2 linked regions of the Mytilus edulis genome follow. The protein of the gene in region 1 purifies or fractionates together with the protein of each later gene. This does not show direct contact. Links are inferred from orthologs where the notes say so. Each region holds a gene or a part of one and is shown on either strand. Other genes may lie near its edges.

Region 1 (7,393 bases):
TTTAAATGTAAAATACTAATGATCCAGGGACTAATTATGTTTCTAAACTTATCAGAACCAGCATCTGTGTTGTCTAGGATGACCAGGTCATTTCAGGTGATGACCTTGTACTGAATCTAGGATAATGACATAAAAATCACTTGTTTAAGTACCAGACCTCAATTTCCTTCCCAAAAATCACTTCTTTAAGTATCATTCTTGTAATAACCCCTACTAATTTCAACACCCCCCGAACAGTGATATTTTTATCGCGAACAGTAGAATTTTATTACATAATCTGAAAGATGAAACCTTGAACTTCACTGGAAAAATACTCCCACTGCTGTGAAAAATCTTTTAAGAAAGTATCAGTTCATTATATAAAGCCATTATTATAGCATTTTTTCAACTAAAATAGAATTTTCAGCTAAATGATAGCATCAAAGGCATAAACCTTGCTACTTAAAAGAAGCCAAAAGTTCCTATTTTTTAATTTTAATAATTAAAAGATATTATTTAAACCTATGTGTTTAAAATTTTGAAAAAACTACAAAATCCCAATTTGTGACAAAACCTCGAATTTGCTTCTCAAATAAGTGATTTAAAAATCACTTATTTCAGTAAGTCCCCTGACTGTTGACCATCATCCTTGAAATTGTAAATGGGTTCAAAGTCTGTGCATTAGATAGGGAATTTAATATAGCACAATTTTATTTCAAAGTCAATATATTTCTTAAGGTTGTGACCCCTTCTGTAGCCATGTGAATTATAAATTTTAACTGCAATAGTATCAATCAAGCAAAGATTATGAATAAAAGAGAGACCATTTTGTATATATTAAAGGGAAACTTCATGGAAAACATCATTAAGGTAGATGGGGTGTCTAAATTATAATCCATAGAATCTTTTAATAATTTGCCAAAATGTAGTTCATATCCTGCTTGTATAAAAACATTAATAAAAAGAATGGGTCACCGGACTTATTTTCAAGCTACAGGTTGTTCAAAATTGTCAAGATTTTGTATAGATTATGCATGGAAAACCCATTTTTCCGCCATAAAACGCAAACCACACCATAGAATTTTGAGATAAAATATGAGAAGATAGCTTCGATATTATGCTTTCAGATAAGAAAAAGAAAAAATGGGGTCACCAGACTCGTTTTCTTGCTACATGTAAAAATGGGTAAATTCCTAACACATTCTATTGTAAAAGTAACACTATCTGAATTATCTGCCCTTGCATTTGAGTTGCCTCCCCTTATTTGACAAAGTTGGAAAAAAATGAATCAAACAAAAGAATTCTTATTTTTGTAAAATACAATCATAAATATGATCAAACATGGCATTTTTTATATTATAATGAAAATTCTTACACATGAATTACCTACTACTATAAAAATTTGAACATTTCATCAAAGATCTAGACCTTGTTTTCTAGTATTTCAAAATCCAAGATGGAGGAAGACACCCTATCTACCTTAATTATCATTTCATTGCATTTGAAGGAAATTTGGATTTTGCAGAAATCAAAACTAAGATTTTTGTAGAAAATCCACACACTTTTACTTTAGTACAGAGATTTTTGTTATAAAATTATACACAACATGCACAATGATTACTAACTTGTTTTTTTTTCTGTTATGTGCTAGCAATTATTATACTATTTACAAAAAGTCACAAACGTGAACCTTTAAATTCCCAAAACACTCATTGAAATAATATAGCAGAAGAATTGTTTTCACACTGAGGTGAAAGGGCAGAGTTATCAGACAGGCAAAGTTACCACTTTGGCGGAATTATCAAATTATGTGTATGGTTAGCATGGTAGATCATATGTTTTCGTGTAATAATATGAATTTGTATCATGCATGCTTTTTTCAATGGAAATTGTGACGTCATAATGCATTCTGAATAACACTAAAACCCATGAGACGAGGATACATCTTTAAACATTAATTAATTTGAACAACAAAATGTAAAGAATGCAACCTTGTTATTCCCCTAAATTTCAATCAAGGATTTGTATAGTATAAGTAACAGTAACACTAATCCTTGTTTGGACAGATCAATTATTTATCATTAAATGGGTTTTTTTTTTTGTTTATTTTTATTCAAACATGCTCAAATACTATGTTGCTGTTTTAACATGTTTAACAATGTTTAGTTATAATTTATGTATTTGATGAATGTTCATTTATTTCTTTAAGACCGTTTTATTATTTAAGAATTCAATGCTTCTTTTTGTAGCTTCATTGGGGTGTAAAAGCGTTGACCGAAGTACATTTTGTTTGAAGCGCTAAAGCCCTTCATTCTAAAAATGTGCGCACGGTCAACGCTTTTACAACCCTATGAAGTTACAAAAAGAAGCATTCAATACTTATAATTACATTTTTTAGCTATGATCATGAAAACACGAATTTTATAATTTATTATTTAATTCACCTGTGCACTTTATTGTGGGACCAGTGTTATCATGACTGAAAAGTTTTATTGAGCAATGCAATTGCTAAAGGAATAACATGTGATGTCCAGTTAGCCAATCATAATAAAGTATTATAATGAAACATATATCTAATGGAATTATTTATATTTGAAAGTGATAAGTTTACTTCTAAAACCTGATCAGGAGTTGCTTCTGTGGGGTGAAGACCACGTATTTATGACCCAGCAGGAACTGCCACCTTCAGGAACGAATCAAAGAGTGCATAAACTCAGGAGTCAAACTTGTGTGGTGCGAACGCTAGGAGGTACTGGCTTTTTGGAGAAAAAAGACTTGATACCAGTTAACTAAATGTGTATCATCCTAAGTCTTAGCATAAACTGATAAACAAACTGCAGAAACTTCATCCTCCCACTTCAGTTTTTTTTAATTACTTAACGATTTGTTTTACTTGCGAGTTCGAAAAGAATGAGATTGAAATAAAGAATGATTACTTCTTTAACAGATAAGATGTTATTCCACTAAACTTCATCTAAAATTCACAAAAAAAAAAATAACTTGACAGTAATTTCCATCCGGAAATAAGATTCTGCATGACATCCGCTTCCGGTTTTATCTTGTTGCTTGGTGCGCGTAAACACAGGTGTTTTTACAGAAAATTTTGTTTAATTAAGTTAAGTATTTATACATGAAATTGCTCATGCCGTAAAAACAGAAATAACAAAAAGTAAAAAATGGCTACGGGTCATATTCTCCCGGGCTATGGAAACCCTGTTACTAATTTGAGAAGAGCAAAAACTGCAACTTTGCCTCTTGACAAGGCTAAACTTAGGGAGTTTGCATTGTACAATAATCCAGGTCCAGATCATAATGAATTGTTAAATATCAGAAATGAAGCAACTCGTATTTGGTCAGCTCAAGCACGCCATCCAACAACTTACAATTCACATTTTGAAGGGAAATTCTTAGATGAAGCAACACAATCACGTCCTTCATCCAGATGTAGACGAAACAAGCCACATCCACGTCAGTAAGTTAAATATTGTAGAATGCAAAATCTAATATATTTATTCTCAAATCAAACATTGTAAATCATGGTTTTACTGTGGTATGATTTCTTATCATAAATTATGAGGTATATATATTTTATCACTACACATGAAGGAACTTAATTTCTAAACTATATCTCAGTAGATACAATGTATATGGTCCCTTCGCCCTGATTCATGCTTACCCTTGTGTCTGTTTGCCCCAAAATCTGTTCACCTAGGGTCCATTCGCCGTATTTTTTTAAAATTTTTTCCATTGTTATTCATGTTTAATCACAGAATGTTTATAATTTGAATAGAGTACTAAACTTGTCAAATGTATGTTAAAGTGAACTAAAAAATCGCTGAATATTTGTATTGCTGCAACCTTCTTCGTAAATTTATTAAACTTTAATAACCGTAACATAAATATGTTTTAATGAAAGCATAAAGCAAAATTAATCCTGGGCGAACAGACTCTATCATGTCTATAGGCCAACAAACTCGGGGCGAACATGTAATCAGTACATGTCCCTGATCTGCAGGTCTAATCAGTTGGCTGATATGGCCGCAAATGTCTATAAAATTATAAAATCTAGTGGCTTAATTGAGACTGCTTATTAATAAATCAGGAATAGGAAGGACTGTTAGGGTCGACAGTTTTTTTAAGGACTACACAGTCTTCACAACGAACTTTTAGATCTATACAGGCCCGAGGCTTTATTTTTGAAAATTTTTAGTTAGATTCTGTTGGCCTGTAGATATGATTTTTACAGGCAGGAGAGCAATTTAACTAGCCTGCGCTGCCACTCAGCGTGAAGACTGCTTACATAATAAACTATTCAGGGATTAGTATAGACTGTCACTGAACTGTTATACATTTAGTAAATGGAAAACTCAGGTTTTATAGTTCACATTAAACTTTTATAGCCGTAATGTCTGTTAATGAAGAAAATTGTGCTGTATTTTTCTGATCAAGTTCTCCATTGACTAACAACATGTTAATAACAGAAACAAATATTTACCTTTAGTCTCAGATAGTTTTCAAACTGTAATGATGTCATACATTTGTCATATGAGTTAAAAATTTAAAAATGTAGATGTTAATAAAATGTACAAGGATCTACAATTCTATCATTCTATGTGACAACATATATTTATTTACAAATAACAACATAAATTAATCTAATTAACAAATTTATTTAAATGTATTTAAAGAAATCTGTCAGTCTTGGTTCTGCATTTCTATCATGTCTATTTTAATAATTTTTCATCCTACCACAAATTCAAACTTTGACTGTTATTTCATGAATTATATAATAAGAATAATTATATAGTTTCTGGGGGGAAAAGATTCATTAAGGAACAGCATTTTACCTGAAGTCTGTTAATTTACTTTAAATCATACATTATACAATGTACATGTTTTCTCTGTCTGTCCACACCTCTGATTACCGAATAAATTTGAGAATGGAAATGGCAAATATATGTGAAAGAGACCAATATTGACAGCCATATTGTATTCACTAGTACTATGTTTAAAGTTGCATGTTTGTGATGTATATTTATGTAAGATTATACCTCTCAGAAATTCATTCTCATTAAAGATAACTCAATAATCATTTCACACATACATGTAACTGAATGACAAACTCAAAATCACTCTATTGCAAGTAAGTTAAGGATTTATATTGAGTTACTATGTAATTCGATAAAATCTAAGCAGTACCGGGTAAACACCAAGAAGATATGTATTCATCCAGAAGTATTTTGGCTGTTTAAAGTCTATGATTTTTTTAAATGACTAGTTGTGCATGGTTCTAAACTATATTTGTTAAATGAAGTGTTGTATTCAGTGGTGCTTTCAGAAATACATCTTTATAATTTACTGCATCAGCCTCATTGGCAAATTTTGTTATCAAATTAATATTTTCTAATGACAGTTAAAGTTTAATTCTTGACACTCAGATTGACTCTTTTGCAGAATGTCATAAGACATTGTAACTTGTAAGAACATATCTAAATGAAAAATGTGATATTATATAATTAGGTAAATAGGTAATTATGAGAGATTCAGATTCAATATTTTATTAAAGTCTCACCACTTGTTTATAACATTATACATTCCAATATACATATAAAACATTGTGTATAACATGAAATATTGGATAACATATATAACATGTATAAAACATATTGTATAAAACTAACTGTAAAATATCATTAGCTTAAAAATACTAAAACATATACAAGTGCCATTCTATTAAGAATTATGAGAGACTATTAAGGTAAATGATTAATTATATACAATATTTTACATAATTTTAAAACTACATATATGTAAGTTTCAAAATACATCATCAGCTATATACAATGAGAGAGAAAAAAGTCAGTAAAGGCCAGAAACAGTAATTTTATAGTAGTAGTATTTATTTGATCCAATTTTTTGTATATGAAAAATAGTAAAAGTTTTAGCATTTACAACAATTTCTTAATATCACAAACAAGTCTGCAGTATAAAATATTTTGATATGTTCCTTTATTAAGAAGAAAAAAAATATTATTTATCAATTATGTTATTGAAGTGGTCTCTAAATCCAACACAATATTTAACCCTACATGTTTATTACCTGCAGTAAAACAATACCTGATTTAACCATGTGCTAACCCTACTTTAATATCCACAATAAACTATTTATCGTTTATGACCATCTTTGTTGAGTTTAAATTTCTGACAATAAAACAAAAACACCATGTAATATTTTAAAACCTATAAACAAGGAGATCAAATGATATGTTTATAAAAATCCAATCACCCTTAAAATAATTGATCATCTAGGTTTTTAATAACTGATATGTAAGATTTGAATGGATTTAAATCATCCATATAAAACATTGTACTGAGTATTATGCTTTATAAACATACCTAGAATCAATAAGGATATGAAACTAATTTAAAACAGCTTTATGCTGCATGATTAAAGACATATAAGCACTTATAGCACTGATTTATATTAAACATGTTAAATGCATTATTGGTGTTTCTTAATTAGAAGTATGTTTTAGCATTTAATTGATTTCTTGAGAGAAAAAAATCATTTTCCACTTTCAGTTTTTTATTGCATATACATTTAAGTCACGCATTTCAGTTTGAAGCAAAAAATAGGAAAATAGTCCCTTAGGCAATTAGTAAAATTCTCAATTTCACTTAGGTCATTTTTTTATTAAGTTTTTTGCTAGTTAGCTTGCAATTGGAATGAGTAAAAACAATGGTGTACAAATTTTAAAGCATGCTAAGGATTCAAAGGTTCATTTGTTTATATGTTTACATAAATTGACTGACTAGAATTATTAAAATTGTAAAAAATATCATAAAAATAAATGTATTTATTTGTATTCCAATATTCTACTACTAATATGCAAAAAAAAATACTTTTTTATATAGCATTTATGTTATTATTTGATATGACATCATTTTAACTATCCCTTTATTAAAAATTCAGAGTAGAGTATAAAAATTTTTGTACATGTATAAATTAAGCTGTTAGTTTTCTAGTTTTAATTGTTTTACATTGTCATTTTATGGGCTTTTATAGCTGACTCAGTGACTACTGGTATACGGTATAGGCTTTGCTCATTGTTGAAGACCATACAATGACCTATAGTTTAATTTCTGTGTCATTTTGGTGGTCTCTTGTGGAGAGTTTGTGGAAAGTTGTCTCTGACATTGGCAATCATACAGCATCTTCTTGTTTATTTTTAGTACATCAATTGTGTTTGTTATGTATTTAAGTCTTACGGTTTATAAAAAAGAAGAGTCAGAATATATCATTGGAACAATCAAACTTTATAGGTCTAAGAGAAACAGACAATATAAGAAAAATGATGAAACGACAATAAATAGCCTATTTAATACTGCATTTAATGTTTAAATGCAAGAATTT
Region 2 (8,021 bases), on another chromosome or scaffold:
CTCAGTACCATATTTTGTTAAATTGATAAAAACAAACTCACATATAACCTGACAACTCTCTGGAAAGTCTCCTTCAATTTTCTTCTTTTATCTTTTAGTACTTTTTCATTCAGTAATGGTGCTTCCACTGGATTATATTCTGAATAATAATAAAAAGACATTAAAGCTGACTATGCGGTATGGGCTTTGCTCATTGTTGAAGGCAGTACGGTGACCTATAGTTGTTAATTTCTATGTTATTTGGTCTCTTTTGCAGAGTTGTCTTATTGGCAATATACCACATCTTCTTTTTTATATTGTTTGTCAGTCACAGAAAGAAATAACAAAACATCCATACACACACATGACATATATCTTTCCCTTTATAAGATAACTGTGGCAACACCAATTTATCATTTGTTTTTTTCACCAACTTTAGTTCACTTAGATATATTAGAAACTTTCCTGTTTTTAGGAACATTAGTTTATTAAGGTATATAGACAACAGATCTGCCAAATTTCCAGATTTTTTGGGAATATATGGTACTCAATTAGATGTCCTGACCTAACTCTTCAATCCTCTATTTTATTTAATCAATTAAGAACCTCAAAACAGACAGTCAAAGGGCCAAAATTGCATTTTATCACACATATAATCAAACACATATTCATTCAACAGTGCTTTCCCGAAAGCCTTTTCCCTCAAGGTAATGTGATACTATATTGCTAGAATATGTAGGATGTGATGCTATCAGAAATGATTTTCTTAAAGATAGTGTTATGGATGTGATGCTATAAGTTTTAGAAACAAGATGGTATTTCAAAATTTCCTGTTTGCCAGGATGATATTAGAACTTTCTGAGGAGAACACTGTTCGATACCATAGTGTATAAGTTTAAATACTTGTGATATATATATAAAAAGAAACAGAATATGTCATGAATATTACGCATCAGTAGCAGATTTCTTCCTTTCCCTTCTTTCAGACTCAAAAAAAGAAATTTATATGATATGCATTAGGTCTTCTTGTGCTTTGAGAAGTTGGTTGGTTTATGATTTTTTTGATTTTTTCTTATTCAACAACAATATAATGGCACATGCTGTTAACAGATTTCTTCACTTGTACAGCTATTTCAGTGGAGATCCCTGTGTATAAGTACCTTAAGACTAGGGTATCCTCAGGTAGTACCTTAAGACTAGGGTATCCTCAGGTAGTACCTTAAGACTAGGGTATCCTCAGGTAGTACCTTAAGACTAGGGTATCCTCAGGTATATACTTATAATTTTGTTAGTATACATTATTTATCATTAATACATAATTTCTCTATTATTTTGCTATTCTAACTTTGAATATGAAGATTATGTATATTTATGAAAAAAAACTTTATTACACCATCAATTGTTACTATTTGATAGATGTCAAGAATAAAACTGAATAGCGGATTATAGAGTGTGTTTGGAATTTGGTTTGAGGTTTTAATATATTTCTATGTTGTCCAGTATAATGGTTTTTACAGTTTTTTTTGTGTGGATTAATAACTTTCACCACATGTTTTTGATTTCTACTATAATTATCATTTCAAGTTTATATTTTTTACCCATCTTGTCGATAATTTCCATCTCTGTCAGTAACTGTAGTGGATCTTTTCCCTTTAATACAGCCTGTCGTACTAGCATACGCTGCTTCTTGTTCTACAATTAAAACATAAATCATTTCAAATAAAGGGAAACAAATTTTACAATAATTTTTTAATTGACATACATATCAAACTATAAAACATGAATTGTTTATCATATATATGTATCATTGGACAAAAGTTAAAAGTTAAAAATTTTAAATAAATTTCAGGGCTATTTTGATTGATCTGAAATAACGGGAACAGCAACTTTTTATAAATTAAAAGCTGAAATTATAGTAAACATGGTAAATAGTTACCTTTTTTAATTCCCTCTTTCTTGCCTCTTTTCCTGTAAAAATAGAAATATGATACAAGACATTAACACTAATTTACTTCAACAACCAGCATGATAAAAGAATCATTTTTTTCTTTAATGCTTTATGTAACTCACTCATAAACATGATAAATAGAACCCCAAAAATTCTGTCATTAAGAATGAGTTGCACCAGCCAACCGGAGATGTTGTACATGTTGTAAATGACATAATCCAACAACTGGTTCTTACTGAAAGGTAATAACATAAGCATTGTAAGATAAAGAGTATGATCTTAGAAAGTCATCAAGAGAGCAAACAAAATTACTAGTTATTCTGTTACACGAGAGAGGTTTTATCTTTAACAAGCTACATTGTATATATAAAAGAGCAGAGTTCCAATGTCCCCTGTGTCGCACATATTTTATCTATCCAAGGGCAATTACTGAAAAGAATTTGTTCTTTATTATTTTTACAAATACATGTTTCTTTAGAGAAATGAAAAAATATTTGATCAGCACTGATTTTCAGCCTGATCATCAGCCTGATCAGAGATGATAATGAACCATAGTATATATCATGTATATATATATATATAGCTATAACAGGTAGAGTACTAATCATAAATCAGTTATTTTGGTCCAAACTTTAATTTGTAACAATTATGGATAAATGATATCAGTTTGCATTTCTGGGAACAGTTCATAAACCAAGTTTGATCCAACATTTGCTTCACAAGAAAATACCTGTATCAAGTCAGGAATTACATTCATTTAATGGATTTGATCTTTTAATTTTGCAATTTGATAAGGGTCCTAAGATTTCCAAGAGAACTCCCAAGAATAGAGTAATGACCAGATAACAAATAGATGTTTCCGAAAAACTACCTTGAAAATAAAATATGGTGTTATACTGCTTTTACCAATAGACATGATAGACGTATTTACACTTGTATGCAAATTTATCTCTCAATGAGTAAAATCACAAAAGTTCCTGTTTAATAAGGGATTTTTTGCCTTGGGGTTCAGTTTTTTTGTTAATCTACTTCTTATAATATATATATGTAGGACTCTAAAGTGCGATGGTCTACGCTAAAGTATGATGGTGTATCACGCTAAAGTGCGATGGATATTTGTTTGCTAAAGTTCGATGGAATATCACACTGAAGTGTGATGGACCAAAAGGGTAATGTTGACTGGCAAAAAACGTTGAAGAACACGGATGGAAAAAAAAAGAAAAAGAACACAGATGTTAATTAATAGTCTTTTTGCAAAAGCTAGTAGGATTTTTTTTTTAAATTCAGGCATATCAAATATTTTGATAATTAGCATAGCTTGCAGTTCACATGTACATGTAGTCTATCCCTTATGTGATCACCTTGTCATCGTAAATTACAAATACAAAATTCGTTCATTCATGTCATGTAACATTTATTTGTTTAAATCTTAATTCAAATGAGAGAGAAATGCAATGTTCTCCGAGCTTTCTCCTTTTTCACAGCGAGTACAAATACAGGTTGTATTTTCCTAAAATGTACAAAATAATGCTTTAGCAGACAATTTATGATTTATGCATGAAAACATGTACCTCTACTTTACCGACTTTTCAATAAATTGACAATATTTTAACAGGGACCGCAAAGTAAACTGTAACATAAACAATGATTTCAATGTATCAGTTAACATTACCTTCTAATAGAAGCAAGAAAAAGTATACTATTACTTGTGGCTATAACAGTCTGCACCAAAAACTTTTTCAACTACTAGTATGAAGACCAATATTCCAACATTTTTCTTATTGGTCCAACAAAGTTTTGCAATAACTTACTAGTCCATATAAAATTTTACTAGTCTTGGGCATCGGACTAGTGGCTAACTGTGCAGACTGGTATTATTTTGTATCTGTATAGTAAAATGCAAGACACTGTCAACGTATATTTGTTCTGCCTAACAGAAGTTCCAATGGAAACTTTGTTATAAACATTGTCATAATATCTTTTCTTGTTGGAACAAATATTCTATACCACTTCCAGAATATTTTTTCCTTTTGGAACTTATATTATGAAGGAACTTCTATTCCGTGACAACACAAGTCCTTCTTCCAGCACCCGATAAAAAAAACCATTTGCATCAGCAGACAAAGCACGGGTAGGTTTAAATTAAGTAAGTCATGGACATTTGGCTAAAGTTGTCAATCAAATATTCTACGTTTATCTTTCAGCATGTTAATTTTTTTTGTATAAACGACACGTCATAATCCATAGTACGTTTATTACTTCTATACTATCGCTGACCATCGCACTTTAGCGTGTGTAGGCATCGCACTTTAGCAAAGACCATAGCACTTTAGCGTGACCATCGTACTTTAGCGTCCACATTGCACTTTAAGTCCTACATATATATATATATATAGGCTGTTTTTTTAGGTTTATGAGTTTTCAAAGTGAATTGGTTATCAAGGGTAGTATATGCTTGTATGTTTCTCTCATGTCTCTTTGCGATGTGCTGATGGATCGTTGTACAATGTACATGTTGATGCTTGTTTGAATTGTGTTTATAAGTCTTCTTTTTGAAGTTCAATTAAAAAAATTGTTAGTTATAGGGTACTTACTGGCTTGGTCAGTGGGATTCATATATTTCCCACTTTTAGTGGTGTTAATTGAGCGGCGTCCCATGTTGGTATCTGCGTGATGACACCAACTTCAAAATAATGTTACAAAGTTTGCTGTCAGTCGCAGTAACTTGCAAATAGGATTGAGTGCTAAACTGAAACCAACAACATATCTGAAAATTGATAAAAGTTGTAGTCCTGCTCAATTGATACTACAATATTCATTTAAACGTCGAATTTAAAGCGTGATATTTTTTTCCATTTTTATCTTGCCGTAAGTGGAGCTAATGTTGCAAATAAAAAAGTTTTGTTATTGTTAATTTTTTGCATATAAGAATAGGCTGAATATACCGTTTGAATTAATATAAAACGCATTTATATCTTAAAATATTTCTGTATTTAATAAAAATAAAATAAAAAAATATTACGACATAGTCTTGCTCTTTTTGATGCTTTATCAAAGGAAAATTGTTATGGTTTACACAAAAATCAAATTGACTACGAATGCATAAAAATTAGCTGTCTGCTTCCCAGGAAGCTCAAGAAAATTGCTTTGTTTTGCCATTTAGGAGTAATAAGCGACCACAAAATGTCACAGACAAAGATATTCAAAGCAGACATCGACATGAAGCTTGAAAAAGTACGATTTTTCTATAGTTTTTTTCATGATGCCTTGATTGAAATTATATGGGTGGATCATAACATTTGCTATCCATCAGCAGCTGATCAGTCATACTCATAAGGTTGCTATGACTTTCAAATTTTCCAGATGCAGATGTTTGTCTGTACTCATTGCAAATTTTGAGGTGAAAACGCAGCCATTTTAGTCAAAGGGTAACCAATTTCACTTAAACCTTAAAGCAGACTCAAGAACTAGAAAAAAAAACATTAACTCTCATATAACAACATAGTGGGAGGATAGGATCTTTATCGGGACTCCAGGATCAGGTGTTTTTAAGCTCAGGATTTCAGGATCACATTGAAACTCGAATTTATTTATATTCAGGACCTCAGGATTTCGTGTTTTTAAGCCTGTGATTTCGGGATCAGGACCCCTCTTAGCTGCCCTCAACATACATACATCCATGGACTTTTACAGTCATTCAAACTTTCTATATACAATTTGACAGTGGAACCAGTTCCCCAGGTACCATATATACTATTTGCATCTCATTACAGGACATCACAAAGGTTCCTGTTAAATTTTGACGTCATAATACAAAATATCTGAAGCCACAATTGAAAAGTGATTGTTACATGATGTCAATAGTTCAAGCGGAGCAGATTCTCTGGTCAAACGGGACATATTTCCAAATAGGGATACGATGTATTGATAACATGGAACAGCTCACTTCAGCTGCTGGTCTATTAATAAACTGATAACACCAAAAAAGACTGACAAATCTACATGTAGTACACCAAACACAACATAAAAAAATAAAGACTAATTGACACAAACCCCACTAAAAACTGGAGAAGATCGCGGGTGCATTGGAAGTGTTAGCTGATCCTGCTCCACGTACGGCACCTCTTGTGTTTCTCATGTTAGTAGAAACCAGGTCATACATGTACATGTCATATTTAAGTCAAAGCAGTATTTCATACTCTTGAAAAGGGAACAGGCTTGTACTAAATTACTTACCACATAAGGCTCATATCTGCTACATGTATATCATCTGTGAAATTGATATTCCATAACCATGATAACGGTCAACTAATTAGTGATGGCTTCCGTAAAATTTACAAAGGGATGATTTATAATTTATCACATGGAAATTGTCCAATCTGTAATAATAAAATTATTTGGTGCAACTACCTTATCAACCTCCAATGTACAAAATGTTTACGTAGCAGGAAACATTTCAGTATGTTATTTGTTGCATTAATGGGGTAAAATAAAATCTGTTTCTTGCCTCCCAATAGACTAGTTTCTAATATATATGTAATAAGTAGATTTAATCAATGAACTGCCCAATTGGTCTAAGGATATTGTGAAATGATTTGTGACGTCTAATTATTCTAGGATAAAGCACATTTGAATTGACAAATACAAATTGCTGTTGTAGTTGTACTTACATATTGTATGTATGGTCAAAGAGAAAAAAAGACAAAATGACAAACACTGGTCAACAAAATATTTACATGAATTTAAGACACACAACGCAAAGCTAACTTATAACTATGGATAAGGCAGCTTTTTTAGGCCTTGTCCCCTGTTAGAGTAGACAGGTCCTGCTACACTAGTGGCACACCATGTTATTCATTTACCACAAGGAAAACATGTTTTAATAGCATCCTTGTTTTATGAGACTGTCATACAAGTGAGAGGTTTAGCTAGCTATAAGACCAGGTTTAATCCACCATTTTCTACATAAGATAATGCCTGTACCAAGCCAGGAATAAGATAGTTGTTATCCATTCATTTGATGCCTTTGTGCATTGATTTTGCCATTTGATTAAGACCTATCCATTTTGAATTTTCCGCTGAGTTTAGTATTTTTGCGATTTTACTTTGTACTATCAGATGTCCATGATAATTTCTTCTATGTATTATTTGCATACATTGTAACTCTTCAACAGCCTGTGAAGCCAGTATTTCAAACAGTCAAAACTAATGTACCCACCTGCTGATAGTGTGAGTCGGCAATACCAAACAAACATTGTTTTAAGGGTGGCCCCAGCTATTAAAATTTTCTGGTACTTTTGATACATTTCTGCATGCAAATAATTGTAACCCTATAGCTATCCATTGACCTGTCAACTGAAGAATCTTAAGGTTTAAAAAAAATAAATACTAACTATGTCAATTATATTATTTTAGGAGAAGAACAATTTGTCAATACTTAAAGAGGCCATGAACAAAAGTAGAACAAACACCCATGGTATGCTAGGGATACTTAATAGTTTTGAGAATCGTTTACAGAAGTTAGAAAGTACAATAGAACCTGTTTACAATGAAACAGAAATGTTGAGACGCAGACAAGAGAGTATCCTTCTTATAATCAAAATTATAAAAATGTATAGTATTTTATTGTGCTACCTTAATTTCATGGTTCTTTGATCATGTTTTAGTTTAAGCTCTGATGTTAGATCGATGTCTAGGATACTTCAGTACAGAACAAAGATACAAAGTATGTACATCATCTTTTCATGATTTAATGAACTATCCAAAATACAGATCAGAAGGATGGTGTTATCAATGTATATTTGTCTACATTACAAAAGTTCCCCTGTTAGCTCAGATGCTCGATAATAAACAACACCATAATATTTGTTCCTTTTGGAACAAATATCCTATAACCTTCGTTCTGTTTATATAAACAAATACTGTAATATTTCTTCCATTTGGAACTTATATTATAAGGAATGTATAAAATGTTTTATTTCATGCCAGTGTGACCATATTTTTGTGAACTTTCTAATATATAATAGTTTTAACAACAGTTTAACCACATTTTGTGATTAAGTGAAAAATGTGAAATTTTAGACCTGGCATTAAA

The links. The genes of interacting proteins can lie anywhere in the genome.
Region 2: the proteins of exocyst complex component 1-like (region 1) and exocyst complex component 7-like purify together in Homo sapiens (affinity purification with mass spectrometry; 4 studies listed by BioGRID and IntAct, counting the BioPlex papers as one, with this or other methods). This does not show direct contact. The link is inferred for Mytilus edulis from reciprocal best matches to the Homo sapiens genes EXOC1 and EXOC7.

The regions. Positions count from the first base shown.
Region 1 is NC_092351.1:13,976,048-13,983,440, forward strand, and holds the start of exocyst complex component 1-like, read right to left. Parts: upstream 3,022-7,393; coding exon 2,985-3,021; exon of another isoform or gene 2,916-2,984; intron 2,840-2,915; exon of another isoform or gene 2,591-2,839; intron 1-2,590. Other genes in the region: uncharacterized protein, read left to right, coding at 3,156-3,451.
Region 2 is NC_092352.1:1,656,927-1,664,947, reverse strand, and holds the start of exocyst complex component 7-like, read left to right. Parts: upstream 1-5,003; 5' UTR 5,004-5,110; coding exon 5,111-5,161; intron 5,162-7,342; coding exon 7,343-7,508; intron 7,509-7,593; exon of another isoform or gene 7,594-7,652; intron 7,653-8,021. Other genes in the region: WW domain-binding protein 11-like, read right to left, coding at 42-139, 1,578-1,671, 1,916-1,947, 4,522-4,585. UniProt on the Homo sapiens protein: Component of the exocyst complex involved in the docking of exocytic vesicles with fusion sites on the plasma membrane.